Linked DNA regions of Astyanax mexicanus. The protein of the gene in region 2 binds, or shares a complex with, the protein of the main gene of each other region. Links are inferred from orthologs where the notes say so. Each region holds a gene or a part of one and is shown on either strand. Other genes may lie near its edges.

Region 1 (16,768 bases), on a different chromosome or scaffold from region 2:
GTGGGTTCAATGGCTTGTTGCAAAGCAAAAATCTGATTATTTCCTGATTCATGAAAGGAACCAGTTTATGATTACCCAAGTCCACATGTACACGTTAATTAAATTACTTAAATAAAAAAAACTATATTTAAAAAATAAGGCAACTAAGGCAAGTTTGTGCACCTTCACAGCTATTAAATAATAGGTATGAAGCTGTAATGAAAAAGCACTTTATGTAAAGCACTTTAATGTCTTTAATGTAACTTGAGTAAAATGTAATTTATATGCTACATAGCCATAAGTACAAAAGTTGGGTGTGGATACCATTGCATATAAGACTACAACTTAAGAAGGCAGCCTATACCACCAGTCACCAGCAGAGGGCAAGCAAGTAAGCAGCAGAGTGGTAGAACTGGTGGGTATGGGGCAAAATACTCCAAACCCCAGAATCCTCAGCAGCAATCAGCGCTGACAAGCCAAGACAAGACAAGACAAGACAAGACATTGAGAACAAAAAGAGAACACAGAGTCTACCAAAGACAAACAAAAAAAGCTGTTTTTTATGTTAAATTAAACATCCTGGTCTTTAGATCCATGTTCTTCTTTGTTTGAACATGCCATGTGGCATTTCTTTTGTGAAGTTTCTCCTTTATTTCCCACCTTGCACCTTGCACTCACTCACACAGCTGCACTTAGATCTATTGGTTCATTGGTAGCATACTGACCTACAATCCTCTAGGTTGGTTAATTAAACCCTACATTGGGGTGTGCACAATATCACTGTATAACTAATAATACACACACACACACACACACACACACACACATATATATATATATATATATATATATATATATATATATATATATATATATATATATAATGACTATATATAGCAATGGCTATATAGTAAATAAGATAAAATAAGTAGAGCAATTCCAAACACAGTTCTGGGCCTGGAGCCACCTTATCCTTCAAATGTGTTGCTTTCGCTTCTCCAAACACACTTGATTGAGCCAATCATTTCATATAAAGCCCTTTTTGAATTGTGGTGAATGTGTTAAAGCAGGGAAACCACTAAAATGTTTTAGGATGGTGGGCTCCATGACCAGGACTGAAGAACTCTGCCATAGATATGAGGCAGTTCATTTCTGACCATTTTAGTGGCAATAAAATCTGTAAGAGAGCTTTTAGGGGCATTAAATGTTCCCTTTTTTTAGACAGTGAGTGTAAATCTGCACCTGCATCCATGCATAATAAAAATGAATAAACCGAAAACTGCTGTTGTTAAACTTTTTTATTTCTCACTGAAATAAAATACCATACAGAGCTGCTGTTTGTGTTGCTGTTCATGTTGTGCACTGTATGTCCAAACATTTGTTGGAAAAGCTTCTTATTATTAAATAACTTAAGGTGCATCCACCATTAATATAGTAAAGACTATGTCTATAAAACTGGATGCTTTGGTAGAGCTCCACCATTATTATTCCCAACAATAACCCTCGGCTGTAGAGGTTGAAGCCCCAGAGCTTCCACTGTGGGGCAGTAGAACTGCAATCTCTGGAATGAGGGAGCTCCATCCAGTTGGATGTGTTGTGATCCAGGGCTTGATTTCGGAAGGAACGCTGGGGTGAGTAGGTCTCCACATATCTTTGGCCCTGTAATACATGTGTTTTGTCTCTTGACACCTTGTGAAAACAACATCTTATCCAGAGTAATGTTGGGCCTACCAAGCATTTAGGGTAGTTAAATACACGGTAGCTGATATATATTCAGGCCTGTTTGATTAACTAGCTAAGTAACTAAACTGGTAGGCTAACTAAATTGATAGTATAAGCCTCTTTTGATTAAGCACTGTGGCAACAATGGCAAGCAAAGCTTTAGGAGTAAGTCATCTGGACTTTTAGGGTTACTTCAGTTTTGATACATTGGAGGAATCCCTTCAGGGAGTGCTTCTCCAACTGTGGTATTTTGGAGAACCACTGCATTTTAGGGTGGTACACCAGATGGCCTCAGATTGAAATCAGTTTTTTTCCTTTAATTGTTTACTTTTCTTTGTGTTCAGTGTTCACTCTGGTAGATACTGTATATAAACTTACACTTCAGTTATTTACAGTGTAAGAGTCCCTACAGTTGTATCCTGTGGAACTCCAGGATTCACCATAGTGTCTGTATTAGTAATAATAGCAAAATAATTAAGCTAAGGTTTAAAGGGGTGCCATGTAGACTCTGTAGTCCACTACTCCCTATTCCCCCACACTCCTGTTATTTCCCTCTGTCTCAGTAGGCATACTGCAGATTTTGCAGATTGTAAATTAGGTAAGGCCCGCACAGAAGCCCCAGTAGGTGCTACTTAAACGTTTTTGTTTGATCATTGGTGATACAATTTCGTTTAAAGTTTGAGAAATAGAATTAAGGTGATTTGAGGAATTTCCAAGGAAGCTTAAGGTGCTTCAACTTGTATAATTTTAAAAGTGTACAAGCACTACATATAGCAGCACAACAACAACAAAAAAAGAGAACTTTCTCCTACTTACTTTTTAAAAATAGCCTTGTTATTTGTTGTCCACCCAGATGGAGTGAATCTGATTGTGGTTGGATGTAGAGAAGTATAAAAATGTACCATTACAACACCCTATTGATTTATACTGTGATCCATCACGCCTGCACACGTCACACCCACACTCCAGCAAGAACATAGCAGATGTATGTAGTCTAGTATGAAGATGATCCGTGTAGAGACTCGAGCCAAACGTCTAACTAAGCTTGTTTAATATATTTACTTTACTAAAATACATTCATTTTTGTGGACATTGGACATTTATGCAGCTAAAACAGGGAGCCTAGTGCATCCCAAATTTATCAACTTTGACATTTTAATATAACATTATAGTCAATATTATGGCTTTTAGAGAAATGTGTTTTGGGGAGGGCGGGTAGTGCACTATAGGACTCTGTGGCACTGCCTAAGATTATGTCCTTAATGGAATTTGTATTACTATTACTTGCATTACTTTTATACTTTTAAGTTAAGTTTAGTTTTGCAACCAGTACTTTAACACTTTTATATTAGGAGTAAAAAGCTTGATTTGATGCTTCAACTTCTACAGACGTGTTTTAAACTCTTGTATCAATGCGTTTACCAGAGGAGTGAATGGGAATACTTTGGACACCGTTGGTAATTGGTCCAAAAGTCTGATCCTTTGGCCTTGACTGTAGTTTGAGTCTTGTGTTTATTTATTAGTCTTGTGCAAAGGTTTACAGCTTTATCTATGTAAAAAAAAATAGTCAAGACTCTTTGAGTCACAGACAATACTGTTTATTTCTTTATTTCATTTTTGTCTGAGCACGTCCAAATGTCCAGATACCTAAACATTACCTAAACTGCAATGTTAAAGCAATCTGGCAGTGACTGCAGTTAACATGTGCTCAGTGCTGTGATAAACCAAAGCCAAAAACAAGTACACCAAAGCAGCCAAAACAAAAAGTTAAGATCCATATCATCATTCTTCTCTTTATATTTTTAACCACTACATTCTGAAGCCGATGTCTTGTGTTGTTGAGCAGTCAGCCAAAGGTCTTTTCTCTCTCTCTCGCTTCCAAACCAAGTATCGCCATCTGTTGATCGGGTGGGGGTGGCAGTGCCGCATGCTTTCCTCCCAGACATACATCGCAAGAGCAGTGCTAAGCAGCTAGAGCCCATCGCTCGCTCATTTCCTTTACTCCTGGTAGGATCTGACCAGCAGCCACATGAGCATCACTGTGATCAGGACGATCATAAAGTTCAGAAAAAGCTCCTGTACAGACCGGTCCATCTCTCGCAGTCAGGACAGAGGTACTGATTAAGAGAAATCTGTGAGGGATGTTGATGGGAGATTAGAAGAAAGGGATTTGTTGTGCAGTCCACTATAACGAGAAAGAAAGAAAGAAAGAAAGAAAAAGAAAGAAAGAAAGAAAGAAATATAAAGTAAGTGTCAATTTAAAGGACCAAATAAACATTATATTTTCGGTAGAAGCTCATAAAATGATCAGGACTTCTCAACAGATTTTAAGGAAACATTTTGAGTATGCTAGTATGTCATGGTAATTTCTGTAGCTTGAGGCTCCAAATCTGCCCACCGCCATTTCCGAAGTCCAATTTTCACAACCCGGGTTGGCAGGTAAAGAACACAACAGCACGCAATCAGTGTGCTGCAGCCATGGATACAGGCCAGCTGGCTAGTTTTCTCCTGAACAGGTAATCACTAAACTTCAGAAAGGTTCACTAACAAAAATAATAACTAAAAAATACATATGTTCATTTACAATGTGCAAACAATAAAAAACGTTGCCGACGTTCTCTTTCGGTTGTTCACCGACGTGTGTTTCAGAACTTTCGAATCGGACAGTTCTTCACACCTGACACTCTGGCTGAAACTCCACCCTCTTTGACTAGGTCTGCCTAACAACAGAGCAATCTATATTCTGATTGGCTCAGCGAGAGTACATTATAATATACAGCCGATGGATTGGCAAGCGTGAGAAATACCATGTGTGGCATGTGAGCGTGTGAACTCGCTGAGGTGCGTGTGTCACACACTCAAAGCGTGAGACTTGAGAACTCTGACCTTAGCAACCTGTGTGTTTGCAAAAGTCCAGGGCAATTTCAATACTATACTTTGCAACCGGGGTGTTGACACATTTTGCTCAGGCTGACTGACATATTATACTCGGCAATCAGGGTGTTGGAACATGCAGGACACTGACCAGTGTTCAGAGTATTTGGGTCAAAATCAGGCTTGTTTGATGAACTTTTTTTTGTTGTTTTCCACATTTCAATTCCAGGTGTCCACCAAAAAAAAACATTTATCAACATTATTTAATGTAATTTACTCAATAAATTATTATTTTTTCTCCGTGTTTACATTCCGCGGGGTTTAAAATGTTTCCACAGTTAGACACACACACACACACACGCTGGATTAATAAGCGCTCTGAAAGTCACGTCCAGGTTTAAACCCACCTGTTGTCTCTGAGTTTCAAATTCTCATCTTTCATCTGCTCAACTGCGGCTACAATCCCCCCATACTGACAGCTCTCTGGCTACAGCCCACCCTTACATAAACACTGCTGAACACCACCCAGAACCTCTCTGCTGTTGATAAGGGATGAGGTAAACAGAAACAAGTAAACCATTGTTTTACTTCATTAGTACTTCATTTCTAGATATAATGAGCCTAAATAATTTAGACAATCAGTAAAAACAAGTGATTTAAACAGCTGGAACTCTGAAACTTGTTGTAAATGTTAGACATAGTCATCATTGTTTATTCCTAGACTAAAACGTCTGCAGTTGCTTTTGGGATGGCCCACACGAGGCAGCTATTTAGGTCATTACTGAGATGTTTCTTTAAATAGTGATACATCCTGCTGAGTCACTCTTGAGCAAAGATTGACTCCGGTTCCTAACGTGCCACAACACCCTTTCTTATGTTTTTTCGATTGGCAGGAGTGAGAATTTGGTTGTTATTGTAACTACGACACTGCAGATACAATGCACGTCACTTATAAAGCACAGTGCATCATATACAGCCATAAGATATTTACTGTTTAAATGCAGTTCTCAGTACAATATTTGTTTTATTTTACTGTCATGTTTTTATTTTATTTATTTATATATATATTTTACATTTTACAAATATTATAAGTTTATTTATTTGGCTACTTATTATTAGATGTTTATCTGTTTCTTTAGAGTGCAATTATATTAATTCCATTCTGCTCACTTAAGCTTTTATCCTGTTTTTAATCTATTTCAAATAATTTATCTGAATTATACAGTACCAGTCAAACGTTTGCACACACTTTAAATTCAGTTTTTTTTTTCATCATTATTTTAAAATGTCCTGCATTTTGGATTAATACCAAACTTATGCAAACTATAAATAAAAGCATATTCAATTATTTAGTAAACAACAAAAAAGGATGTTAATATGTTTTATATTTTAGAGGTAGCTCCTCTTGCTTAGATGACAGTTTTGCACATCTTGGCTGGATTTTCTCAGTCAGCTTTATGAGGTAGAGTCACCTGGAATTTCAGGCTTTCAGTTAACAGCTGTGCTCTTAGTTAATTACTTGAATTTCTTGACTCTTTGAGAGCATGGTTTGAGAGCATCAGTTTTAAAGTTGTGAAGAGGTAGAGTTGGTGTACAGTGAATAGCTCTATTTGAGTAATGTTCTAATACATATTATGGCAAGACCTACTCAACTAAGTAAAAAAAAATACTTTATAAAGCTCTCATCAGGACTGCCCCAGGAAAGGAAGAGCAAGAGTTCCCTTTGTTATACAGAATAAGATCATCAGAGTTACCAGCAATGTGGTCTGGTTTCTATACATTTACAGTTTACATGATAGTATGCAATTATACCTAATAATCTCTTTATTTATTTCCTTCTTACCTGCACACCTGCAGGAACTTCCCCAGCCGCAGACAGTATCTCCCCCTCGTTCACTCTCGTTCTTTGCCTCTTCTCTCTCTTTCTCCCTCTCTGTCTCTCTCAATGGATTTTTCAGGCCCCCCTCAAATTTTTCTTTGCCTGAAGTGACCCTGCAAAGGTGCACCTCCCAAACAAGGCCTTTATACAGCCCTGCTGTGATGTCACCGGCCAGGGCAGGGCAGTTATCTAAGACCACTGTCCAGGGGAATAAAACTGTGTGTGTGTGTGTGTGTGTGTGTGTATTGGCATGTATTTGCCACATTGTGAGGACCTCATGTGCTCAGGAAAGGTGGAAACATCTTGCGTTGATTTGTGAAAAAAAATCAGTTTTACCTTAATACATGCAACACATTATATTTTAAGTAAAAAAAAAAGTCTAAAGTATGCTTTTGTTGCTACAGTTGAGATAAATTTACAGCTCTGGAAATAAGAGACCACTCAAGAATGGTGAGTTTATTTACTTTTGCCAAATTGAATACCTCTGGAGTATAATCAAGAGGAAGATGGAAGATCACAAGCCATCAAACCAAACTGAACTGCTTGAATTTTTGCACCATAAAGTTATCCAAAAGCAGTGTGTATAAGACTGGTGGAGGAGAACATGCCAAGATGCAGGAAAAATGTGATTAAAAACTTGGTTTATTTTACCTAATATTGATTTATGAACTCTTGAAACTTAATGAATATGAACTTGTTTTCATTGCATTATTTGAGGTCTGAAAGCTCTGCATTTTTTTGCTATTTCAGCCATTTCTCATTTTCTGCAAATAAATGTTCTAAATGACAATATTTTTATTGTTAATGTTGGCCGTTATGATTCAGAATCTGAAGTATAATAACTGAGCTGTATAATATCAAAATCTATGCTGTAAAGCAGCAGTAGCAGTATCTTTGAGTGAGAAGAGAACATGATATTCTAAAAAAAAATACCTACTACCATAAACACAGACTAAATGAAAGCCAAGGCTGATGGTCAGTCAGTACTGGATGCTGGTGATCTTCAGGCACTCAGATGGCACTTCATTAAATACAGACTGTACTGATTCTGTACTGGAAATCACTGCATGGGCTCAGAAACACTTCCAGAAATCATCCACTGTCTGTGAACACAGTTCACACCTTTCTGTAAACCACAAATTGCAGGTTAAAGCTGGATCGTGTAAAGAAGAATCCGTGTGTCAATACCATCCAAAATGGCCAAAACACATTAAAAACAGACTAAAGCAAAAAGAAAAACCTTTTCTGTGGTCCCCATCCACACTGACAGCTTGAGAGGATCTCCAGAGGAGACTGCAGGAAATCCTCAGATTTCAGTGTGAGGTCTTCACAAGAGCATAAATGCAAGTATATCTATACCTAAAGCACATGTTGACTCAGCTGTTTTTGGTGATTTTCTGGATTTTTGGGATCATAAAAGGATTTCGACTGACGATTTACTGTAGGCTGCTTTCTGGAATGTTCCCTGTGGAACCGGAGACCTCCATTGTTTCTGGATTAGACTGGGGATCCCCAGTCTCATATATGAGACGCATGTTATTCAGTTCTGGCATTTTGCACGCTTCTTCCATGTGACTTGCAGTAGGATGGACTTAGATGAACTTTATTGTACTTTAAAACAGAAGTTGAATGCAGTACTATTCCTGGGTGGAAAAAATGAATCCATTTGGTACTTTTGGCAGTGTGGGCAGTGTGTCAAGTCCTGCTGGAAAATGAAATCTGCACCTCCATAAAAGTTGTCAGCAGAGGAAAGCATGAAGTTCTGTAAGATTTGCTGGGAAAACACTGCACTGACTTTAGACTTTATATAACACAGTGCACCAACACCAGCAGATGACAGACATGTCTCTCCAAACCATCACTGATCATCAGTCAATTTTGCATTTCGATTGGAAATCAAGGGATCAGAGTCTGGAGGAAGAGTGGAGAGACACACAGTCCAAACTGCTTGAGGTCTAGTGTGAAGTTTCCACAATCAGTGATGGTTTGGAGAGACATGTCATTTACTGCCTTAATTTGTACCTATTGATGACACAGATGTGCAATACAGCTTGTACACATACAGCTTGTCTAGTCCCTCTACAGAAGTTTTGCCAATAGAATAAAACTGGAGCAGATAAACATGAAACTACTGGCAACATATCTAATACCAGACATGAACCAGAGGAGTAAAACCCCTCCCATAGCCCCTCGTGAGCTGTGGAGGAGTGTAACTGTGTCTCTGGAGCGACGGTGCTGGTGATGTGTAGGCTGTGGAATGATCCAGAAGGTCTATCAGCCCCACTAGAATTTCTGCTGTGTCCCGAACAGCTGTTAACATTATTAACCCAGATAAGCAATGGAAATAGACTTCACAGCTCCAATCGCTGATTGCTGGAGGATCAACAGGATGAAGTACATGTTTATAAAGAAGAAAAAACACAGAAAAGGTGCAGAATTTCAGGGTTTTATTGAAAGAATGTGTATAGGGACTGGTGTTAGTATTGTTGGCCTTTTAAGGGGATAGAAGATATATGTCCAAATCTGTCCATGAAAGAACTGGATAACTTGTCTTACCTCCAATTCTAAAAGAGAATGTTGTGGTTGTGTGTGTGTGCAGTTTTGATTTCAGAAATGGGAGGTGTTTTGTAGGATAATGTGTAACTAAAAAAGAAACTGTTTCTGATAACGGGTTGCACAAAATATTGATACATTATCGATCAGTGATTGCAAAGTTATCTTGAAATACTTATCTGATTTCTGATTACTTCTTTAAAAAGTAACTTAGTTACTTTATTAGTTACATTCAACAGCCAAAGACAACACCCCACACTCATATTTCATTTTTCCTAACACGAGATATGCATTTAAAACCATCTCAAATAGTGTTTTGAATTCTTGGAATTGCTCTACATTTTTTTTTTGTTTTATTTGGAGAGTTTTATGTTGTTTGGTTGGGAGGGTTTTGTTTAAATAAGTGGAATTTCGTTGTGGCGCTTCCACTGAAAGCATTGTTCATCCTCCTGGTGTTGGTGCAGAGGATGAATAAGGGTCTGCACCAGTGAACCAACTCGAGATAACACTAACACAAGGTTAACTCTTGTTTAGATGCAATAAAAAACGAAATGCCTTTATGTACTTTTATGTATAAACACACATTATATGTAATATACACTCACAGAGTATTTAAAGATTTTAGCTTTAGCATCCCTCTTAGTGTTTGGTAATTAACATGCACAACACATACCGATGTGCCCTGGCAACAACAGCGATCCTCTTACCTCACATTAATCTCACATCAGCAGGCTAGGCTGGCACGGGCATCTGGCAGATGCTTTCTGTAACATTAGTCCACAACTGAAAAGTGGTGTATCAGTTTGTATCAGAGATGTGACCAGTGCTGGGTGTCTGTGAAGGTGGTTTTGGACTTTAAAAAATCTGGTATAATCCTGATTAAGCCCCTTGAGAAAAGTGGCAAAACATCTTCAGGTTCCGATAACCTTGACCTGTTACCTACATACATTGAATAGGTAAATTTAAACACCATTTTCAACTAAACCTATCCAAGACTGTACTACTGGTTCTTCCAGCTAAACAATCCATTCAACAATACTTCCTATTATCACCAACCATTGACTTACTCTCACTCTCCCCAAAAAAAGGTTGCTATAGGAACCTGGGTGTTATGGTCGATGATCATCACTCCTTTACACATCATGTTTCCTCAGTTTCTTCGGTCTTGCAACTTTGCGCTAAACAAAATGAGACAAATTTGACAACAGGCCACCCAACTCTTGATACAAGCCATCTCACACCTCAACTACTGCAATGCAGTGCAAATGGGCCTTCCGGCCTGTGTAAAAAAAACACTTCAGATAGTCCAGAAGGCAGCAGCTCACCAACCAAAGCCAATGGGCACATATCTCCCCACTGCTCACTGAGCTCCATTGGTTACCAGTTGCAGCTCACATTAAATTCAAAGCCCTTACGATTTTCTACAAGGTGATCACAGAGCAGCTCCCTCCTACCTGCACTCACTGTCTATGTCCCAGCCGCTGCGCTCCTCCAGTGGCAACAATCTTTAAACTCCTGAAGACAGAGCTCTTCAAAGAGCACTTACTCTCCTAACACCTCTAACAAACTAACTACTTCTATCCTCATTTCCTGCTCCCCCCTCTTTTCCTCCTCTATCCTACTATTACCCTTTGCCTTGGATTTATTTTTGGCCATATTTTTAGATTTTTGGCCACATCATCTTGCCCTAATTTCATATTATGATTTACGATATTTCGTCATTTTGGTAAAAACACAATATAATTCTGATATTAATATGAACAGTATTAAAGGCACCACCTGTTGTGTACATAATTATGCACTGTTTGGCAAAATGGTAAAATATAATATATCATGACATTTAAAGACATAATATACAGTTTATGGGCCATTCCACTGAATGAGTGCCATTACTGTCCACAGGAAATTACATGTATAAATGTGCTCACAAAATAACTTTACAATACATTTTATTATTAAGCATAGTGTCTTGTTTGACCTAATTGACCTAATTGCAAAAGTAAGGTATTTAGTTAAAAAATAATTATAAAAGACACTCTCTACTATAAACTTTATAATGAAATATAATTATTAAGATAATTATAATTCTTATTATTAAGATAATTCTTCAGAGATGTAATTTTTGTGTCTCTGTCCAAATCCCATCTATGCTTTAATTTTTTTTTTTCATATTAAATATAAGCAAGTAAATCTATCAAAATGTACTGCAAAATTGTTCTTGGGGCCTAAATGTTTAGCTGTCCTTACCAATAGGAGATAAAATGGAGGGCATGACAAAAAATAATCGACAACTCAAACAAATAATCAGATAAGTCGACTACTAAAATAGTCATTATTTGCAGCCCTAGTCAAGATATATTGCCCCGGTCTATGTGAAAAACTCATCATCATTAGATAATTATAGGAATATTATAAGATTAATTAAATTCTCTGCATTATTGCCCTGCTTATGTTGTACACTGTCTCATTTTGGAACTGTTATATAGGCTAGTGTTACAGTATCTACAATTAGTAAAAGCTGGAGGCTAATAACAGGTGTTGTGGTTACAAATATTGTAATTAATTTTAATATAATAAAGAAGTTCATCTTAAAATAATATTAAGATAAAATAATAGTATGAGAAGAAAAAATCTTTAAATTACTTTAAATACGTAGATATTTCTTGGGAAAGACCCTGACGATCTCAAAAGCACTTAATGGTCTGTCAAACATGGTGGAGGGTTATGGCATGGGCATAACATACAGTATGTGGATGCCAGTGTAACTGGGTCACTTGTGTTTATTGATCATTTGAATAATTGCTGATAAAAGTTGATGGAATTAAAAAATTCTTTGGAAAAGAATCTCCTGTATATCTAACATCATCAGCAATGCATGAGATTCTTCAGTTTTTGGGGTTTGTGCTATGGACGGTTGGAACGATTATGCTGTAAGACAGCAGCTGAGGATTTTCATAAGCCTGCAGCACTGTCATGGCGCCAGGCCCTATATCTATAAAGCAGAGGAGGCTTCTGTTGGCTGTCAGTATTTGACCCTGGATGACAGCTGAACAGTCTTTAGTGCGGCCTGATCGGCTTTCTTTCAGCCAGAAACATTGAAAAGAGGAATGTGATTGATAAGCTGACAGCAGGGGTCATCAGGGGTCAGATAAATGTGAGGGATGGCGCAAGCAGGGAAGAGCTTGCTCGTGTGCCGGGAGATTCTTTTGCAGAGCAATGTAACCTTTTGCATAGCTGGTAAATTTTCACATGCCTGCTTCTTAGGGTCAGTTAGAAATTTGCTCCTCTTAACACCATCAGAGCTCTTTGGAAGAGTGTGAATTGCTGCAGTCTTTTCTTATGGCAAATGATAAAATCCTCACCTTAGCCTGCTGTCCATTGCTCACAGGACCTTATATAGGGTTATATAGGGATTGCATATATGGGATTGCAATTTCTGGAAAAAGTGATAACTTGGCGGCACAGTGGTTAGTTGTTAGCACATCTGCTTCCCAGTACTGGGATCTTGGGTTCAAGTTCCTATCTGGGTGGAGTTTCCATGTTCTTGTATGTGAGTGGATTTCCTCTGTCACGCTCTAAAGTCTAAAAACATGGAGATCAGGTTAATTGCATATTCTAAAATCTCAGTGCTGGATGCAGTCCTCCAGGTTTAAGGTTTTTTCCATTTGGGAGTAAGTTGTGCATGATTGGCTGCTGCTTCATAACAGTGTGTGTGTGGATGGGTATAAATGGTTGTGTGTAAATCATGACTCTAAACCATCCTTGGGTATGTAAAAAAGCGCTATAATAAGTCTAACTTCATTCATTAATTCATTCATTCGTAACTAGAGGATGTTAATAGGAGAGTAATGGTCAGTTTGGTGTGGTAAACAATGCAAAAGAAGAAATACCAGATGTTACAACTGCCAAACACTTCCGGTGGCACGTTTTGGAAGGGGAAAGCTGGGGGCCTGGGCACTGCAGAGGCAGAAATGACCACAATAAAAGTGTTTTTTAAGTTTATGGAACATTTATAAAAAAAATAAGCACGACTGGTATGTTTCATTAATCATTACTCACACATCAGTTTTTGTTGAGATGTTCCACTTTCAGATGATCACATGCTCAAATCTGGGTCATCTTGAATTCTGCCAGTAAACAACTACATCTACAGTCATTAAATTTATATGAGTGTTTTACAACAGTATTTTTGATTTTATTTATAGCATGTTTTTCTGGACCCTGATACTGAGTTATCATTAGTATATTAGTATTAGTTAAACATTTATTCAGCACATCATCCTACAGACTCCATTGCTTTGGAGTTAACGTTAAGTCTTAGTTATGAAATATAGGTGCACAACTCCCATTTTATAGTAAACAAGCTCTCATCTGCTGCTACCAATGTATTATGATCTACCAAACCACACAGCCTAAATATATCCATATATACGGAAAGCCCATTCAATGCACACTTGTGTTAAATGTGTTGTATCACCTTTGTTTGTGGATCAAGTGACCAGACCATACTCTGCAGTTTCTGCATATACATGTGTGAGGGTTCAAATCCAATGTTGAGATTGAGCTAAAAGTAAAAGAGGGTGATTAATATATTAAAACATTACATTGCTAGATTACGTGTTCATAATATACAGCAGGGGTTGATTCTAGGATCAGAGTTTTAGAGTTTCTGAGCACCAAACAAACCCAGACACACTGAGATTGTAAATGAAATTTTGCAGAATAAATTTTCTCAGTCTCAATTGTAGCAATTACAAATCCTAAAAATGCGAACAAAAAGTTTTCATAAAACTTTTGAGGTGACGCTAATCGACATTTACATGTTTTTTTTTTTCTGATGACACCACAAAGCCACAATAAACTATATACAGTGGAGCAAAAAGTATTTAGTCAGCCTCTGAGTATGCAAGTTCCCCCACTTAGAAAGAGGAGAGAGGTCTGTAGTTTTATCCTAGGTACTATAAGGGACAAAATTTAAAAAATATCCAGGAAATCACATTGTAGGATTTTTAAAGAATTTGTTTGTAAATTTGTTCAATAACAAAAGTTCTTTGTTGGCAATGAAAGAGGTCAAATGTTTCCTGTGGGTCACCAGATTCGCACACACTGTAGCTGGTATTTTGGCCCATTCCTCCATACAGATCTTCGCTAGAGCAGTGATGTTTTGGGGGTTTCGCTGGACAACACAGACTTTCAACTCCCTCCACAATTTTTTATGGGGTTGAGGTTGAAGTTCTATTTTGGTTTAATCTGACCATATGATATTCTCCCAATCCCCTTCTGGATCATCCATATGACCTCTGGGAAACTTCAGGTACTGGCTTAAGCAGGAGGACATGTCTGACACTGCAGGATTTGAGTCTCTCTTGGTGTAGTGGGTTACTGATGACAGCCTTTGTAACGTTGGTCCCGGCTCTTTGCAGGTCGTTCATCAGATCCCTCTGTGTAGTTCTGGGATGTTAGCCCACAGGCTGAGATCTTGCATCGGGCTCCAGATCGAGGGAGATCATCAGTGGCCTTGTATTTCTTCCATTTTCCCACTATTGATCCCACAGTTGAATTATTCACACCAACCTGCTTCCCTGTTGTAGATTCACACTTCCCAACCTGGTACAGATCTACAGTTTTCTTCCTGGTGTCCTTCCACAGCTCTTTTATCTTGGACGAGGTTGAGTTTGGAGCCTGACTGGTGTCTTTTATACAGGTAACGAGTGGAGGACAGAAGAGCCTCTTAAATAAAGAAATCTTGCTTGTAGAATCTTGTAGGTGACCAAAATCTTTATTTTCCACTATTTTTTACAAATAAACTCTTTAAAAGTCCTACAGTGTGAATTCCTGTATTTATTTCTCATTTTTTCCTCATAGTTGAAGTGTAGCTATGATGAATACGACAGATCTCTCTTATCTTTCTAAGTAGCAGAACTTGCACAATCAGTGGCTGACTAAATACTTTTTTTCCCACTGTATGTTATTGTCTTATTTTACCTATCAGCTGTTAAAAATTTACATGCTCATGTACAAATTACAGATCAGAAATTCTGATAATACAGTAAATGATTAACCAGTGTACTCTACATAGTAGCACTGTGTCTACCACATCACGATCACTAAGACACTAGGTGACAGGACTGTTTAAAGATGAGTCCAGTTTACCTGTTGGTGTTGGTGTTGGGCTGCAGTTTGTTGGAGGGACAGTCGGTCAGGGTGAATGGCATCAGTCATAATGATGACAGAGAAAACGAGATTCAGGCTGAGCATCCCACAACTCAAGCTACAACAACAACCTCCACCCAACAAATCTACCTGTCAGACATCCACGCTGTTTTGAGAGAAATGAGCGCTGTGCTGGCAGAGCTGAAATTTGATCAGAGACACACAATGATTGCGGTGAACAACTTGGAGAGCAGACTGAGAGCAAGTGAGAGTAAAGTGGAGGAGCTGAAGAAGAAGGTAGAGGAGGAGAGTCACATCAATCAAGGTGATTCATAGAACATGCTTTGTGTGTGTGTGTGTGTGTAAATCATGGATGAAAGGAATGTTTCAATTCTCATTCTATTCACATTTACTGTAAAAAATGTTTGTTAACTCATCTATTAACCATTTAATGCAAAGTCTGCAACACATCTCATTAATTACTTGATTTTAACAACAGTGTGAACTATTATGTTATTATAGGGAAAAAAGTGGCATTTTCAGCTGCACTGTTAGCAAGTGGAAGTGGTAATACTGGACCTTACAGCACTGACATCACTCTGGTCTACAAACACATCTTCACCAACATAGGCAATGCTTACAACCCAAATACGGGTAAGCTATTCATTTACAAAAATGTATAGAAAAAAAAAAATTAAACACAAGAAAACATGTATGGATGATTTATGTGTATATGTTTACAGTTGTGTATACTTCTCTACCAATACAGGTATTTTCACTGCACCTTCTAGAGGAGTGTATGCATTCAGATTCGACATCCATGGAGGAGCTGGAAGAACAGTAGGAGTGAACTTATATAAGAAAGGGCAATTTGTTGCTGGAACACATACTATTCAAGACAAGGGCAGTGTGAGTTCCTCTAAAGGAGTCTCACTGTTACTGGAAGTAGGAGATGATGTCTATATTAAACTACCAGCTGGAAAGTGGTTGTATGATAGTGGATTACACCACAGCACCTTTAGTGGCCAAATGCTGTTTTATGTTTAAGTTTATATGTTTTGCTGTTTTTGTCAGTGCAGTGTTTTATTAGTAAATGTATTTATGAACATGCTTGTACTCATGTTCAGAACATAACCAAAGAATGAGTTATTGACCTGTATCTAAACTATAAACTGACTTCAATAAAAAAAGGAAAAATCTATGAACTGTGACAGTGAAAATTGTATTATTGTAAAATAATTGTAAAATTGTATTATACTTAAATGACTAAAGATGACTGTCCGTGAAGGTCAGTCCATAAAATTCTGGCATAACCACCCATCAGGTTTCATTCTTGTTGGTTGACTCCCTCTGGGTGCAACTGTTGAATGTTTGGTCAAAACAGAGAGTGTGAACATCACCCTGCAGACAATACCTAATTAACACCTAAAACCATAAAATTAGACTGCAGTTCTTCTGTCTCTATAGGTTGTAACCAGTTTAGGCATTCAGCAGGCTTTAGAAGTTGGATCATGTATGTCGGGATCTATAAAGAAGACTGATATGAAGGGAGAGGTGTTGACAGGCTAGTGTGCTAAATACAGCTCTCAAAACACTCTCAAAACACAC
Region 2 (16,343 bases):
ACAGATAATTTCGCTTTTGTCAAGACATTATGCTTAAAAGAGGCAAAGTATTCTAGCAGTAGAATAAGACAATTTCAGTAGGTAAAACTGTTTAAAACAAGTAAAAATAAGTTACTTATAATTGGAATATTCTTATGATATTCTTGTATAGCAATGTTTTAAAAAATCATATATTTAGACTGGTTTTAAGAAGAATTCCAGTATCATTTAATTTACATCACTCCTGAACATATGGAGTTCATTATTAGTCAATATTTGTGGGCAGAGCCTGGATCAGTCAGTCAATCCTACTGACTCATTCAGAAGTCTGAGCTTTATTCTCTTTTTGCTTTAGTGTGAATGCTGATTGTGCATCTACCTGACACTTCTACAATGTCTCCAGGAACGATTTCTCTGGCCTTGATCCTCTGCACGCTCTTCCGGTCGGCGCGGTACACTTTGCCCATCTCTGGCTCGTACTCCTTCAGTGCCTCGATGGCGCTCTCTGCGTTGCGCTCCTGTGGAGGAAGGAAATGCCAGGCCACAATCAGATCCTATTTTCTCTTCCCATCTCTTTACAGCCCAGAGGCCTTCTCCTTCCACTGCTGCACATAGTTTCCAAGTGAGCATTGTTGTATCAATGTGGACCCTACTGAAACCTGACCAGCCCTGAGCAACGTGACGATACGGCCACTCTGCAAAGCACTGCTGCAGGCCGTGGAGGGCTTAAAGATCTGCTGGGATTAACCCTCGACCCCTGATTTAATGCCAACTGCTCTGTTCTGCTGCACACCAAAGAGAGAGCCTCTTTCCAAGCATCTCACTGCCCATGTACTGTGCCCATGTATTATACAAAAGTCAAAGATGGTAAGATGGCATCAAAGAGGCCATGCTTTTGTATCAGTTGAACAGTTGAAACATTTAGACTTTTAATGTATAGGAGAACTCTGGTGTAATATTGACTTTTGGTGTAGTAAAACATGATAAAGTGTACTAATCTTTGTTGATTAGCTCACCTCCATTCTCCCACACCTTTCCGAGAGACAGCTATTTTGCCATATTCTTGCCCCTTTAGATAAATCGCTTTTTCCACACCTCATTGGTAGAATCCAGAGAGCTCTGACATTTAAGGCATTAAGTACATTAAAAGTGCACAAGAAGTTTATTAAAAAACACGTTGCATAACCTACATCTCCGGGTGCTGCCATCTTAAAGTACAGAGTGATGAGCACGTAAATTTAACAGAAGTACATGCTGTATACATACAGAAGGTAGAATGTTTCGTGTTTGTGCCTTTCCAGGCTGCAACATTATATGCTTGTCACTCTAATGATCATCTAATGACATTACTTTAAGATGGCGGTGCCCGGAGATGTAGCTAACGCTACGGGTTGTAAACCGTGGTTTTTCACTTTTAAAGTTCATAATGCCTCGTTTTAAATATCAGGGCTCTTTAGATTCTAACAATGAGATGTGGAGCTACTTTGAGCCCTGATAATGGTGTAAAAAGCAATTTATCTGCAGGAGCAAACTATGCCCCGTTAAAACCCATTCTAGCCTGTGGACAAATTGCAAGAAATAGCTGGATTTCGGAAAGCTTGGGTAGAACAAAGGTGGGCTATTCAACAAAGTTTGGTACTCTTTATCATGTTTTACTATAACAAAAGTCAATTTTTACACCAGAGTTCTCCTTTAAGAAACTGTGCTCAGCTCACTGAGCTAACAGTACTATATAACTCTGGTGATTTATATGATTCTATTCTATTAGTCTAAGGCATTGGCTTGTTCATCTCGTCCCTAACTTCAAAACGTTTCCATGAATTACTTCTTTTCTTCTGTGTTGCTGTTTTGTGATCGGATGTGTGTAAATACTTAGATTGGTAACTTCTTAACAGGCCTTGTTCTGTGCATGGGCTACAAGTGTAGGTCAAACAAAACCCTTTTCTCTGCTGTAAAATGTAAAGTAATTGACATTGTGAAAAAACTCACCTGCCAAACTCCGACCACAGCATTGGCGATGAGGATGAGCAGGATGACAAAAGGCTCAACAAAGGCAGTGACTGTCTCCTCTCCCTCCTCAAACCAGGCCAGGACCTGACGGGCAGAAAAATTACTATATTAAAAAAACAGTACAGCAAAGGTGTAAATCTCAAATTTATTTGATTCAATTCTATTAGATTTACTTTAGATCTTTAGGGAAGAATTTATTGAATCTTCTCTAATGTTCCCACAAAATGTTCTGAAATTATTAGGCTGAATTGTTTAGTTAGCTCCAGTCATTTAAAAAACATGTGATGAGCAGAGATGTTTACCCAGTTGGAGAAAATAAAAATACAGAATACACAATTAATAAAACACTGACACATTCTCTCTTTCCTTCGTATTTTCTTTCTTCCTTTTTTCTTACTTACTTTCTCTCTTTCTGTCTTTCTCCATCTGCTTTTCTTCCCACCAGGCCTAGCCTTCTAGGGCTATAGCGAAATTATTACGACGCAGGACAGCAGAACTAATGCTGCATGTTCTCCCCCTCAACTCAACTCTCTATAAAACAACCTTGCAAGTGGACACGTGTATGAGTGTGTGAGTGTATGACTGTGAGTGTGTGAGAGTGTGTGTGGCTGGGAGAAGGATTAAAGGCCTGACATGGATGGGAAGTGTTTTTATATCAAAACCTCATGGGAGAATTACAGATAAAGTATTTCAGTAATGAGCTGCATTTGCTGTGAATATACTTATGCCATTAAGAGGAGCTATTAAGGAGGAATCAAACAATCATTAAAGGAGAAGTTATGAGAGTAATAAGTGCAGCGTAGAATGATGTACGTACTGATTAACAGCCCAAAAATAAATGTTTCACTTCAGCAGACTCAGGAGACCATAGAATGAAATAAACCTCTCTATGGCTTTCACATTCGTTCACAGCGCTAAATTAGAGCATGCGCCAAACATGTGACCAAGCCTTATAAGCACTAATAGCGTCTGAAACTGTCAAACTGTTTGTTTTAAGCTGGCCACCAACAGTGATTAATTTTGGATGTCTGGTTGGGTTAATTTTAATTTGATGTAGAAATGCATTGACATCAATACCCAACTACATAAAATGCAAGTATAAATGCAACAAAGATGCATTTAATAATTGATCAAACCACTTCAAAGCACTTGAGTATTCTCCCAGTACAAGTAAACTAAAACACTAGTATTAATTTGTGCAAAATGAGTGAATTTGTACATTTCAATCGGATTTCAGTCTAACAAATGTTGAGACAATTTTGACCACCAAGTGTAAATGCATTTAGTTAAAATCCTATTAGAATATATTCCAGATACTGTAACCAGGTGTAAACAATATCCTAGTTGTGAGGTATGTGTTGGATTTTTATAATGTTAACATTTGCACAATACAATTTTTTACCGCTGTTTTGCATTAAAACTTTATGGACGAAAGTTTTCAGACACCTGCTCATTCATATTTTTTTTTGTAATTTAAATGTAATTCCTTTTTTAAAAGTATAATCCTACTTTTTGTTTGAGTAACTGTCTCTAATGTCCAGATAAAATGCAACATCAATCCAGTACTGAAAAAAGTTTTCTTAATATTATGATTTTTCCTGCTCTTATTCTCCTTGAATTGAGTGATCAGCTTTGTCCTTTATTATTTGATCTCTTCATATTTTATATTGTAATTATTATTTTGAATGAATATTATTTGTATATTTGCATTTCCTATTGTACTTTTTTTAATGTTAACTCTGCATTCTAGCCCTATTCTATAAGCAATACTTCTCCATGGGGACTAGAAAAGCTGTATTTGCACATCAAACCATTTTTTCTTTGTATCCAAAATCCAATGTCTGTCTGATTTTACAATCCGAATAAAATTCAATTAGTCTTCTGCATGCTGCATTTTTTCCTTACATGCAAAGTGATTAACGAGTTAGATTGAGGGACATGGAACTCAAAGCATGACTTCTATTTGGGTCGTGATTTTTACTACCTCCTGGTGCTCGCCATGCTTTCAGGTTCACAAATGAATTTACAGTTTACCCACAGTGCACTACTCAAGGCTGAAAGGTGAAGGGGCTCTCTCAGAGATTGACAGGAGGGCTTGAGAATGTGTCCCCTGTCCTTCACAACAGCATTAGTGACCCCCAACTGTGAAACTGAAGTGTTGTCTCTTTTCAGGAACACCACAAGCCCACATTTAGCACATCACCTGCAACCACATGACCCCTTCAGGTCCCGCCCACAAACAGCCACAAGGAAAACGAAAGTTCTTTGGAGGATATTGGTATGTTGCTGTATTGATCATGTGAGATTCACACAGATTCACTTACAAAAGAAATGCAGGCTGCCAGCAGCAGGATCCTGACCAACAGATCCTCAAACTGCTCCACCACCAGCTCCCAGATTGTTTTACCTGGTAGAGAGAGAGAGAGAGGGAGAGGGAGAGAACGAACAGTTTGTATTTATGATCTTGTGTAATGTGATATGTCAATTATGTCCACTGAGTTCTGAGCAGTATTATTAGTGCAGTACATTTTCAAATGTTGTCGCCTGTAAGTGGATCACACCTTAGCCTTAAATCTGAAATCTGAGTCTAGGCAGTGAAACACAAATAGAGTATACTCTATGTTCCTCCATTGTTCTTGCATACATCTTTTTTTTTGGATGCACTAACAGTGTTGATTTAACACTGGCAAATTAGCAGTGTATTAAATCATATTGGTATTGGCATATAATTGCATAAAAAAACTTAGACTTTTTGGATATATGTTTTAATCTGTTTTAATAAACTGAATGCTCAAAAAAATAAGCATTGGTTAATTTAGCTTAATTTATAACCCAACAGTATGTCTATTTTTTTATGTTTAGCAGATATTAACACAATAACATTTAGCTAATTGGCTTAGCTAAAATTGGAAGAAAAATGCGGGTACAATAAAATAATTATAATAATAATTGATAATACAAATTTATAAAATAATCTTGATAAAACCTCTTGGCGCAGCCCAATGTATTTTAAACAATTATAAGTCAGCTGAGTTCATTAACTCACCTTCTTCAGCAGGCAGCTCTGTGATTGGTCAATGCAGTCAGGAAGGTGGAATCAAAAAAGGACAAAACAACAGACAGAGAAGATTATTATTATTACCTGTACAGTACCATAAGCATAATCATCGTCTCAGAGAGACTTCATACAGTGCAGTGTATGCAAGAATTACAAGAATCAGAGCTGACGGGCCTAGAAATGACTGTTTGTCCTTCAATTTGACCTTGCATCTGACACAAAGCCTTAGTCTAGGCCCTTTCTGCCTTATATAGCTCAATTATATCATGATATATATTACACTTAAAGGAACTGCTATCAGATGTCTAGATCTAGATCAATGTATATTGATATCATATATATAAATTATTCGTATGTAGTTAAAGACAACTATATGTGATTGAAATAAATGATACAATCATATTTTTAGTGGCATAAATAAAATAAACTTGTGGTAATTATTTAGCTGGAAAAGGATCATCATTACCACTATCCAGCTCTCTGTCTATTCTCTTTTTACCAGCCTGAGAGTTCCTTCTTCCTCATAGACTCTAGACTCCAGTAGCTCAGACTTTCTTTCCTTGTATTAACATTCAACATCGATCAGTTCATGCTTCTCTCACCGTTATAGCCAAACTTGGCCAGGTTCTTCTTGAACTGCTCAGGTGAGAGGCCCGTGCCCTCGTTCACGCTAAAGTAGGCCAGGCATTCAGCCGACTCCTGAGTGTGGGCGTTCTCCATCCTCTCTGCTTAAGGGGAGACTTCACAAAACACACGTACAACAGGAGAGCATGAGCGGTAAAGTACGGAAGGAAAAAAATAAGGTCCCAGCTCAGGAACCCAGAGAATTCCAAAAAAAAAAACACCACCAAAAAACACAGATTACCCACCGACACTTTCTGAAAGAGTGGGATTTGGGACGAAACCACTGGCCCCAACGGTCTTCCTCTCTCCCCCCTCTCTCTCGGCTCTCTCTCCTGTCCTTCTCCTCCCTGGACTGACAGAAAGTGCTAACTGTTGCTCATCTCCATACAATTTTATAAAGACCCACCAAAGCCCCCTGGCCTGCAGGCACACCCCTACGTGGACCCCTATTGGATAAGGTGGGACGTATAAGGAGATAAGGGGCCGGGCCTGGGGTGGTTGGATGGGGGAATGGGGCAACAACTGTGGGTGTGAGTGGCATTGTGTGTGTGTGTGTGTGTGTGTGTGTGTGTGTGTGTGTGTGTGTGTGTGTGTGTGTGTGTGTGAGTATGTGGGGGATTGAGGGGGAAGGGGGTCAGCCTTGAACCGAAAATGGTGTCTGTTTTTGGAACATGCTGGTGGTCAGTGTAGGATGGATGGCAGGGAGTGAAGGGTTGTAGTGTTGAGAGCATGTGTGTGTGTTTTTGTGTGTGTGTGTGTATTTGTTCAAGAGTGTGAGTGTTGGGTGGTGTGGGGATTATGAGTGATGGGTCAAGTGTCTTATTGCTTGTACTGGGGCAGGGAAGGGTCAGCAGGGCTCAATATGAGGACAATAGGATGTAATAATAGAGATTATAACTTAACTATAACTCTGCTAAGCGAGAGAGAGAGAGAGAGAGAGAGAGAGAGAGAGAGAGAGAGAGAGAGAGAGAGAGAGAGAGAAAGAGATGGCAATGAATCTCAATGTAAGTTAGGACATTATGTTCAGGGGATTAACACTCCAAATGACCAGACATGGAAAAACTGTGTGTAAGCGTGAAGTGTGTATCAGGGAGGGAGAGAGAAAGAGATATAAAGAGGGAGAGAGACATGAGATACACATTAAAAGGTCTGTAATAATTTCCCTTTGGCTTCCATTATAAACCTGTTCTAAGTCAAAGGGCGATTTCACACCTGAAATCTGCCAAAATTCTGCGTCACACAGCAGGATGAGCAGAACAGATTTCCATCGGATTCCTTTTATTCTTAGACGTAAATGAATCTACAGCTACATTAGATACAGGTATCACCTGTTGTTGAATAGGTGACAACGACCTGCCTTAACAATCTGTGATTGGTACAATTGTTTGCAAGAGTGTGAAACCACTTCTATTGGCCAGATCAGATTTTGGCAGTTTTGGTTCAGACCTAGACTAGTCTGGAGTAATCAAGGTTGATGTGAAAGCACCCAAAGTTACCTCTGGATTCTGGGGTCTCTTACACATTGAGGTAGCTTGATGGACCCTGTGGAATAAACAGGGCTTCACAGGATACAAGTGTGTCATTACAGACTAAGGCAAAGTGGGCCCTTATTTCCCTATGAGTGGACAGAAGACACCAAGTGTCCCAGGAGGATTTCACAGCTCTCTTTAAAACAAAACACCCTCACACACACACACACACACACACACACACACACACACACACACACACACACACACACACACACACACAGACCCCTCATGCACACACACGTGCCGTAGGGCATCAAAGGAGAAGGTGCCATTTAGAACTGTGCATAAGCCATATGTCTTAAAGGCAAAGAGAGCGAGAGAGGCTAACTCTTTCCATTGCGTCTCCTTTATGACAAAACACTTAAGTGTAATTAATCCATTTATTTCTGTCTCTTCTCTCTCTCTCTCCCTTACTTTCTTTTTTGCTATCTTTCTGTTCTTAATTTCTTTTTTTATTTTCTTAACTTTTTGCATTTGTTTATTCCTCCCTTCTGTCATTCTGATTTCGCTGGATCCTTTTCTTTCTTTAGATGTGTATCTGTATTTTTTTTCCTCTTCTGTTCTTTCTTCCTACCTTTCTTCATGACTTTTTCTTTCTTTTCTCTTTCTATATTCTTTGCTTAATAGTTTGTATTGGTTTAGTCCTTCTTTCCTTGGTTCCTTTTTCATCTTCTCTTTTTGTTTTTTATTCCTTCAGTCCTTTTTTCTTTCTTTCTTTTTTATATATTTGTTCCTTTATGTGTCCTTTCTTTTTTCTTTCCTCACTTTTTTTCTTTCTATACTATTTGTTCATTTGTTTGTGTTGGTTTTCTTCTTCTTCCTTGGTTCAGTTTTCACAAGACTCTTGTCTTTTTCTCTGTCCTTTTTTTCTTTCTTTCTTGTTTAAATTCTTTCTTTCTTCATTTCTTTACTTTTTTCTCTTCGTTCTTTATTCATTTCTTGAATTCTTTTATTCTTTCTTTGGTTTTCCACTCCTATCTTCTCCACACTGTAGACATTGCTGCAGCAGCTGTTCTGTACTTTGAACTATGACCTCAACATGGCGTGGTCTGTCAGCGTGCACCTCAATGACATTTAACTCATTTATCCCCCAAGATCGGCTTTCAGCCCCCCGTCACACATACGTACACACACTGACTAGTGTTAACTCACCCACCTACACACTCCATACATGCCATTGTGCATTCAAACACACACACACACTCTCTCTTTGATGTGTACATCTCTACCGTTCACACACTGCTTATCAAAAGTCATATTGGAGACATATTGAGTACTTTTGTAACAGCTCTTTACTTACTTACTTATCTTAACTAAAAAAGAAAGACATGTCTCTGCAGGAGACCAGGTGTGAGGTGTTCGACGTTCTCATTTCTCATTCACGACTAAGAGCCTTTTTTATTATACTGTGATACCAGTATTGCTACTCGATACTGGCAGATACTTGAAAATCTGGCATCAGTATTGCTAACAGAAGAGAAAAGTGGTATTGGCGCATCCCTATTAGCAACAAGATAATTATAAATTTATATTTATATTAATATTACTATTATTATTAATTCTGAATACATAAACAGAGGACAGGGTATTCTGGAGCAGCAGAATCTTCAAATGACTTTTTTACAATGTAAAATTATTTCTGTTAAAGAAATAAAAAGTTAAAGAGTAAAAATCAAACTGATTAGACCATTGTTTGTTTAATTTTAAAATGTGTTTAATGATAAAGTTTTAGGAAGCAACACAAAGAAATACAATTAGGTAAGAAAGAGATCTCTCATCTCATTTTGGTGTAATGTTTTTAATACACCAAATTTGCCTTTGCAATCTTAAAAAGGTCGCATAATTTCTTTAACAAATCAAAGGTGTTCTCGCATAGTGTCTTTGTCTACAGAATTTGTCCAGCCTTAATGTGCGAGAAAGTCTGTGGGTGTTCCTTTTTTCTTTCGCATCTTCTCATATATCCAAATTTCCTTTTTTCTTAAAAAAAAACTGTTTGTTTGTTTATTTTCACAGCAATGTTTCAGCTATTTTTTGTTTTTCATTCTTGTCTCCTTATGACGTTTCACATCTGACCATTTGCCCTCTGGCTGACCCTTGCCCCACAGACAGCACCAGGTGTCTCTGCTTTGGCACCAGTGTCACACTCAGCCCCAGTGTGGCGACCACAGTGACCAGTTCGATACACTGGAGGACTAAACCAGTCAAAGTCTAAAGTTAACCATGTCAAACACGACTCCACTGACCTTCTGTAATTACGAGATGGGTATTATGAGATGGACAGTAGTTATACATCACTGTGTTCTTTAGTTTGATTAATCAGATGGCTCAACCAAGACTCTAATGATGATGATTTGACTGATGATTTTTTTTACAGATTTTGTTCTCTAAAAAAAAACAATAATAAAATAACTAGAATAGCCTGTTTTTCAAAATGTATCATGTGCTTTTATACAAAAAATGTTGTGGAAGTGGAATACATGAATTACTTTTGAAGTAATTTTGTTCAAGCTTTTCAGGAAACACAAAAAAATTATTGTTATGGCTATTTAAAAATGAACAATGGTTTAAATGGATAGTTTATCATAGCGTCGAGCAGTAGAGCCAACAAGAAACAATCCAAATAAAAGAATATAAAAAAACTGATTGAAAAGATTATTAGCATTTTAACAGTCACAAATTGTAGAGAATTTATAGCTTACATCTATGGACATATGGCTATTTTGTTGACTAAAATGCAGACTAATAAAACCTCAATAAATGTCAATAATAGGACAAAACAACCTTGCAATATTTATAGCCTGTAAGCCTTAAAAAGCCTTTAAAATCTTATCACTTATTGGAGATAAATCCTGAATTGTAGCGATTAGTTCCGTGAAGGTAGCTGCCACCTTGGAAAGCTATTTGCCTAAGTCATAATTTATTATAAGTCACACTCCTTACATAGGCTATTATCCTAAAGAGGTAGAAATAAATGATGTGATCTACTGAGGGTGTAGAAGATTTTAATACAGGTGACCATGCAGCATCATAAGGAGATGTTTTAGGCAAAAAGCCAATTTTTCCAAATAATTATTTTAGGAAGGATGTGTAAATTTTATTTATCATCCCAGCTGACAGAAAGTTACTGTTTTACATTCATTTTCTGTCTGTCAGAAAATAGAAAATCCTGTCATATTGTATCGTTTTAACAATGGACGTGACAATGGCCCATAATGCTGTGGGGCTTGTTTGGGATTTGTATTTAGTTATATAGAAGGAAAGGTTTCGTTAAGCGTTGTCATGTTTTTTATTACAGTGCATCTAGAAAGGGTCCATATTTAACACTTCCTGGTCCCATTACTGATCCTGACCAACTTGGAAACCGTGGACATAATTTTATGATTCCGGGTTGTGCTACCCATAAATGCCCCTGGGATACAATCTGAGATTGTTCAAAAAAAACATTTTTTGAACAATTTTAAAATTCCTCCAAAAATGTGATTTTTAGGAAGAAAGAAGTTATAGTGTCTCTTTTTGCAGATCTTGAAGAACATGTTCCAGGTTGGGCTTCCATGATTCTGCCCTCAAGTTAAAGACCTTCATGAGTCACATTGGAAGAAGGCTGCGCAGTCTATGCATGTGCATGTGTGACAGTGTGTGTATGTGGTGTGTGGATGTGTGCGATTGTGTGCCTGTTGCAGTTGTTAGACAAGAATGGTGTTAAACTTTCAACACTGTCTCAACCTTGTCCCTATTCTTGGTTCTTTGAGTTTGAGGTTCCAGTGCGAGACCTTCTAATCTCAAGCAGTGAACAACACCTACACACACACATCCACATATAGAGAGCCTGGAATGCACACATTGCTTTTAATTATAGAATTCCTAGTACGATCCATGTATATATACACGTGTATATACGTGTATACACACATGGAATCATACTACATTCTTTAAAATAAAAGTGCTTTAAATGGTTCTTTAAGCAATAATTAAAAAAAAAACTGTTGACGTATAAGTTTTAATGAATTGTTTGAATTACAATTAGGAATTTTAAGGGTTCTTCTTTGCATTACTTCCATGATGATAACAGATGATCCATCACAGATGCTGCACTAAACCTGTTAATAGGGTCACTGTATATACAATCTTTCTAATTGGACACTACCAGTCAAAGGTTTTAGAACACACCCACTGTTTAGTAGTCCAGTAGCTCTGCTGCATGATCCAGACAAGCTGTTTTATTATCGTATTAATGATTTTATTACTGCACTTCACTTGTCAGACCTAATCTTCTCTTCACTGTTGAAACTGAGACTTCCAATATTAAACACTGCCATGTGGGACAGCCAGACCTTTTCCTATACCAGTTTTCTCCAAGTTTCTCCAGGAGTCTTTTAATGGAAGAGTACTCACTGCTATCTGGCTTACACTTGATTTATAGAATACTTAGAATACTTTTAATAGTTAAAAACACAGTTATCTGTGTTTCTGGGTATTTTTCTACTTATTATGATGAAAATCTGAATGTGCAGTGTTGTGTATATGCTGTAGTAGAGAGTGCAGTAACACATGGCTATACATCTTTATACATCTATACCAGCTTTATGTCATTAAACAAATTACTTCTTTCCTAAAAAATGTCTTGTTTCATTTTTTTTTATTTTGTTTCAGTTTTTAGTAAATTTATTTTCATTAAAAGTTTATTGAAAGCCCTAGCTAACTTGTATCTTTTTACAGTTCACTGGATTTTGTACCATTTCAAGAACAACTTAAATGACAAAAATAAAATGGAAAATATGGGGGTGTTCTAACCAATAGGCCAGTTGTGTATGTACTCAAAATATTCTGTCAGTCCGTTAAAAATAAGTTGATTACGTAAGGTAAGAGTTTATAGAGGGATTATAATAAGACAAGACTTCAGACCCATTTCTGAAGTTCAAAATGTAAACAGTTAAATTCAGTCAGCGGCTCATTAATGTTTGTTTTTATTATTATTGTGGGAAAATGACTGTAGATATTATATAAGATTAAAATTCTAATTTAACATAAATTACACAACAACAATTACCTACCTAACTGCTAATTTAACTTCTATTAGTTTTAGAAATTAGTTTAGAACAGCTTCTATAGAACGTAAAACATTTTAGTAAAGTGTGTGAATGGGTAAATGGTTGAAACAGAGCTGACAAAGCAAAAAATACACTTTTAAAAGAGCTAGTTTTACACACTGTCCTGTGATATGTTCAGGATGTTCAGTATGTGTCACTTAGGAACTTCATGAGTTTAAATTAATACTTCATAATGTTAAATAATTGTTTTAATGTATGTTTGACCTAGTTTCAGCACCGTAACTGTAATTTTTAGGATTTTTAAAGTCACATCCTGTATATAGCAACTGTACACAGTACAACTCAGCTAATGCTAACCAGAGCTCTAGCTCCAGAGTTCTGATGTTAGCCAGTGAGCTAACTGCAGCTATTTATTAATAATGCTAAGCTAACCATGTTACCCACTCACTGGTGACTCTCTTTATCGCAGGATGTTGAAGCTGCTGAAGCTGAATGTTTTTCTGTGGCTGAGGGCTGTGGTTGCCTTCTTTTGTAAAAAAAAAAAAAAATATATATATATATATATATATATATATATATATATATATATATATATATATATATATATATATATATATATATATGTATCCATAGCTAGTTAACTTAGCTACCAAGCTAGCTGACTGAGGTGACAGACTAAATTCCAAATAACACAACTTTCCTGATGAAAAAATCAGTAGATTTTCATATACTAAATTATTTTAGTATTTTTCTTAATTTCTTTATTTAATTTGTTTTCCAGCTTAAGACCAGCTTGTCGTAAAAAATACTGGTTGGCTAGTTGGTTAAGTACCTTTTGACCAGCATAGGGATTTTTTATGACCAGCTGTATGTTTTTTTCTCTATTTTATTTCTAGATGAGCTGTTGGTCTTGAGCTGGATTTTTTTTAGCAGAGGACATTGTATATTAATATCAAAGACATCAAAACAATTAAGGGACACATATGGAATTACAGCAAAAATAAGAGATCAAAGTTTTTTTTTGATTTTACAAAATTAAAAACCTCTGGAATATAATCAAGAGGAAGATGGATGATCACAAGCCACCAAACCGAACTGTACAGCTGAGATTAAAAACTAGGGTTTTTCCTCCAATAATTGATTTCTTAACTCTTAAAACTTTATGAATATGAATTTGTTTTCTTTGCATTATTTGATGTCTTTTTTTGTTATTGTAGCCATTTTTCATTTTCTGCAAATAAATGCTCTAAATGACAATTATTAGAAATTAGAAATTTAGAAAACTATTCCAGACAATTACTGTAAAGACACTTAGAAAATACCAAGACTGTGCAGATCTGTCCTTAAAACTGGTTTGTTTAACACTTTTTTTTAGTTAAAAAATAATTTCACATGCACCTGTGTATCTTTATTGCCTTCAATATTACATTTACAATGTAACAATCATGAAAAGAAAGAGAACATATTGAACGAGAAGAGGTGTGTCTACACTTTTGACTGGTACTGTATAAGAATTTATTTAGTAAATATTATACATTTTATAGTGCCTACCATGAATTACTCTTTAACTCTTATGATTTATTAACATAGTACAATGAATGTCTTCTATAATTATCCAGTTACTATGAATCATTACAGTGACCAATGTGAAATATATTTACTAGCCACTATAAATGACACTGTAACTGTTATGACTTGTTGAGTAATTACTATGAATTATACAGGATCAACCATAAATTACAAAAAGGTTTGTGACTTTAGAGAACTTGAGACTTAAGACCCACAAGCCACCCCCTGCTCAGCCTATAGACTTGGATAAGTCTTATAAGCCTAATGATATTTGTCTGATCACTTCATTGAAGTCCACTGATCATTCACAGGAAGACTAGATAGTACTGTAGAAGGTGGGGGGTTTAACAGGTTGTGTGAGTGAACAAATCAGGTGTTGGAAAAGTGAGAGAAAAACTGTTAGGTGCTCTTACAGTAAGAACATTTGGGACAGGGACAGTTGCTAACACTTGCTAATTATAGTGAGGGATGTCCTTGGGTATTCTTGAAAGAGGAGAGGGTAGAGGATATCCCAAAGAAAGCCCGCCTCAACAGCCATCTCTCTCTCTCTCTCTCTCTCTCTCTCTCTCTCTCTCTCTCTCTCTCTCTCTCTCTCTATCCCTTTGTGTGTTATTTTTAGGCCTGCTGGTTTTCAGCCCCTTGCTTTGCTACAGTCCCGAGCCTTACAAGGCCCAGAAACTTTGTTGCCCAGCAACTCTACATGTTTTGACCCAAGCAGAAAAGGTTCAGCAGCCGACCTCCGCTGACCTCTCCCGCTGCGATAATTAGCATCCCATCACCGTCGAAACCTCATCTTCACCACTCAGTGTCGGGAAGGTGCTTTGTTGTGTCATCGTTGCAGCAGTAAGCAGCTCTTGTGGTTGCACTATTAATGTCAATGACAGAGTAATGACATCTTTGTTTTGGCTTGTTTTTTATGCAAATAATCCGGTCCCCGCTGCAAATACACTTTTTCATAGCAACTGTTGCAGGGTAGAACAGACTTTATAACAAAATAAATGTGAAGAAAATGTGTTTATCCGAATTTAAGTTAATGTTCACAGTCTCTATGTTAAGTTTCAGTTGAACCTCTTAAATCCCTCACTATTTAGCTATTTAAATACATCATTACTTCTTTAACTACTACGAATTGCTCTGTATTGAGAAATGAATTGATGAATGAATTAATGAATTCTTATGAGGTATAGAGTTTTCACTGTAAATTATTTATTTAGAATAAATCATTGGAGTGACCAATGTGAATTATGCAGTGTTTATTGTTAATATTCAGATACAATGAATTTTATACTATGAAAAATGCACTAACCACTGTGTTATTCTATAATAATTATGGTTAATTGAGCCTTCCAACAAAAAAACATATATCAATGCATCACCCAGTGCAAAGGCTATGTGTGGATGTAAGGGATGTACCCCATCAGCGTAAGTGATGGGCCCAGGAGAGACATCTGGGTTGTTCACTGTAAATTAGGCTTAGATACATGTAAAATTTGGGAAGCCTACCTGAGTCACAGTGAAAACACCTATGTAAAACCCAGCCTATATTGGGTAATGTGACGTTAATACTATGACATTTTTTAACATACATGGTGCATAATAGGCATTTTTTTATTCTGGTGGGGGCACAATTTTTTTCGCCCCTGTCCTTCAAATAGCCACAGGTAGCTAAATTATTATTATTATTTTTTTCAATACTTCTTCTAGTACATGGCAGACAGCTTGTGTGTATTTGGAAGGATGGGGTGAGCAATTTGTTCTGTTATCATTTCATTGGCAGCTGAAGTGTAAGAGATCACAACTGGCCTTGCTCTCTCTCTAAGGGGTGGGTAGATGGCGCTCTCTTCCTTTATCACTTCTAATGTAATGTCATGTAATGGAATGATCTGATTTTCCTTCAGCAAACTCGCATTACAGTTTTTTTATTTGGATCCAATACGATATTGTCTCATAATAACTGAGTCTGTTTCGGATCTATCTTTGTGTCTGCAAATTAAATCTGGTCTGCATAAATGGTCCTAACACTGCCACTTTAGGCACATGTGAATGTTGGTCTCCTTCTGTTTGATTCAATTAATTGATTTGCAATGATTTTCCCACTGAAGCAATTTGCTAACCACACACAAACCACATACACAAATGTAATATTTTAAAGTTGCGATACATGCTTTTCCTGATAAAGTGAAGGTTCTATTTTTTAAAGCCTGTATCTTCTGACAAGTAACAAAATAAAGTTTAAATGGCTTTAAACTCTTGTCTTTTTTGTTTATGTTCAAATGTTTAGTCAGAATATGTATGTGAACTGTTTTGAGTGGTTGTAGTAGGGAAACAAAACTAGTAAAATAAAATGTTGCTTTATTACTGTATGTTTACAGTAAGGCTGTAAATTTTGGAGCTGCTTTGGGTTTAAAGACGTTTTACAGGCCACTCAGACTATACTAGTCTGTGCCACATTTGGACCAGATATGGTAATGAGTCATAGATCTGAGCCAAATCTGGGCCAGATGTAGTGAAATCCATTGTAGA

Evidence for each region.
Region 1: the proteins of atp2a1 (region 2) and sarcolipin are in contact, whole or in part, in a crystal structure (PDB 3W5A), measured with the Oryctolagus cuniculus proteins. The link is inferred for Astyanax mexicanus from reciprocal best matches to the Homo sapiens genes ATP2A1 and SLN. Residues at the interface, in XP_069919846.1 of Oryctolagus cuniculus: Phe88, Val89, Leu96, Ala100, Ile103, Val104, Trp107, Arg110, Asn111, Asn114, Arg324, Lys328, Trp794, Leu797, Gly801, Leu802, Thr805, Ala806, Phe809, Trp932, Ser936, Leu939, Leu943, Leu946, Ile947, Val950, Pro952, Leu953, Ile956; in NP_001075856.1 of Oryctolagus cuniculus: Met1, Glu2, Arg3, Ser4, Thr5, Arg6, Glu7, Leu8, Leu10, Asn11, Phe12, Val14, Val15, Thr18, Val19, Leu21, Ile22, Trp23, Leu25, Val26, Tyr29.

Annotation. Positions count from the first base shown.
Region 1 is NC_064425.1:11,882,110-11,898,877, reverse strand, and holds sarcolipin, read right to left. Parts: upstream 6,581-16,768; 5' UTR 6,419-6,580; intron 3,887-6,418; 5' UTR 3,796-3,886; coding exon 3,700-3,795; 3' UTR 3,284-3,699; downstream 1-3,283. Other genes in the region: complement C1q-like protein 2, read left to right, coding at 15,146-15,485, 15,683-15,814, 15,930-16,207. UniProt on the Homo sapiens protein: Reversibly inhibits the activity of ATP2A1/SERCA1 and ATP2A2/SERCA2 in sarcoplasmic reticulum by decreasing the apparent affinity of the ATPase for Ca(2+). Also inhibits the activity of ATP2A3/SERCA3.
Region 2 is NC_064426.1:25,694,435-25,710,777, reverse strand, and holds the start of atp2a1 (sarcoplasmic/endoplasmic reticulum calcium ATPase 1), read right to left. Parts: upstream 6,049-16,343; 5' UTR 5,917-6,048; intron 5,788-5,916; 5' UTR 5,768-5,787; coding exon 5,650-5,767; intron 5,054-5,649; coding exon 5,036-5,053; intron 4,397-5,035; coding exon 4,314-4,396; intron 2,074-4,313; coding exon 1,969-2,073; intron 498-1,968; coding exon 359-497; intron 1-358. UniProt on the Homo sapiens protein: Key regulator of striated muscle performance by acting as the major Ca(2+) ATPase responsible for the reuptake of cytosolic Ca(2+) into the sarcoplasmic reticulum.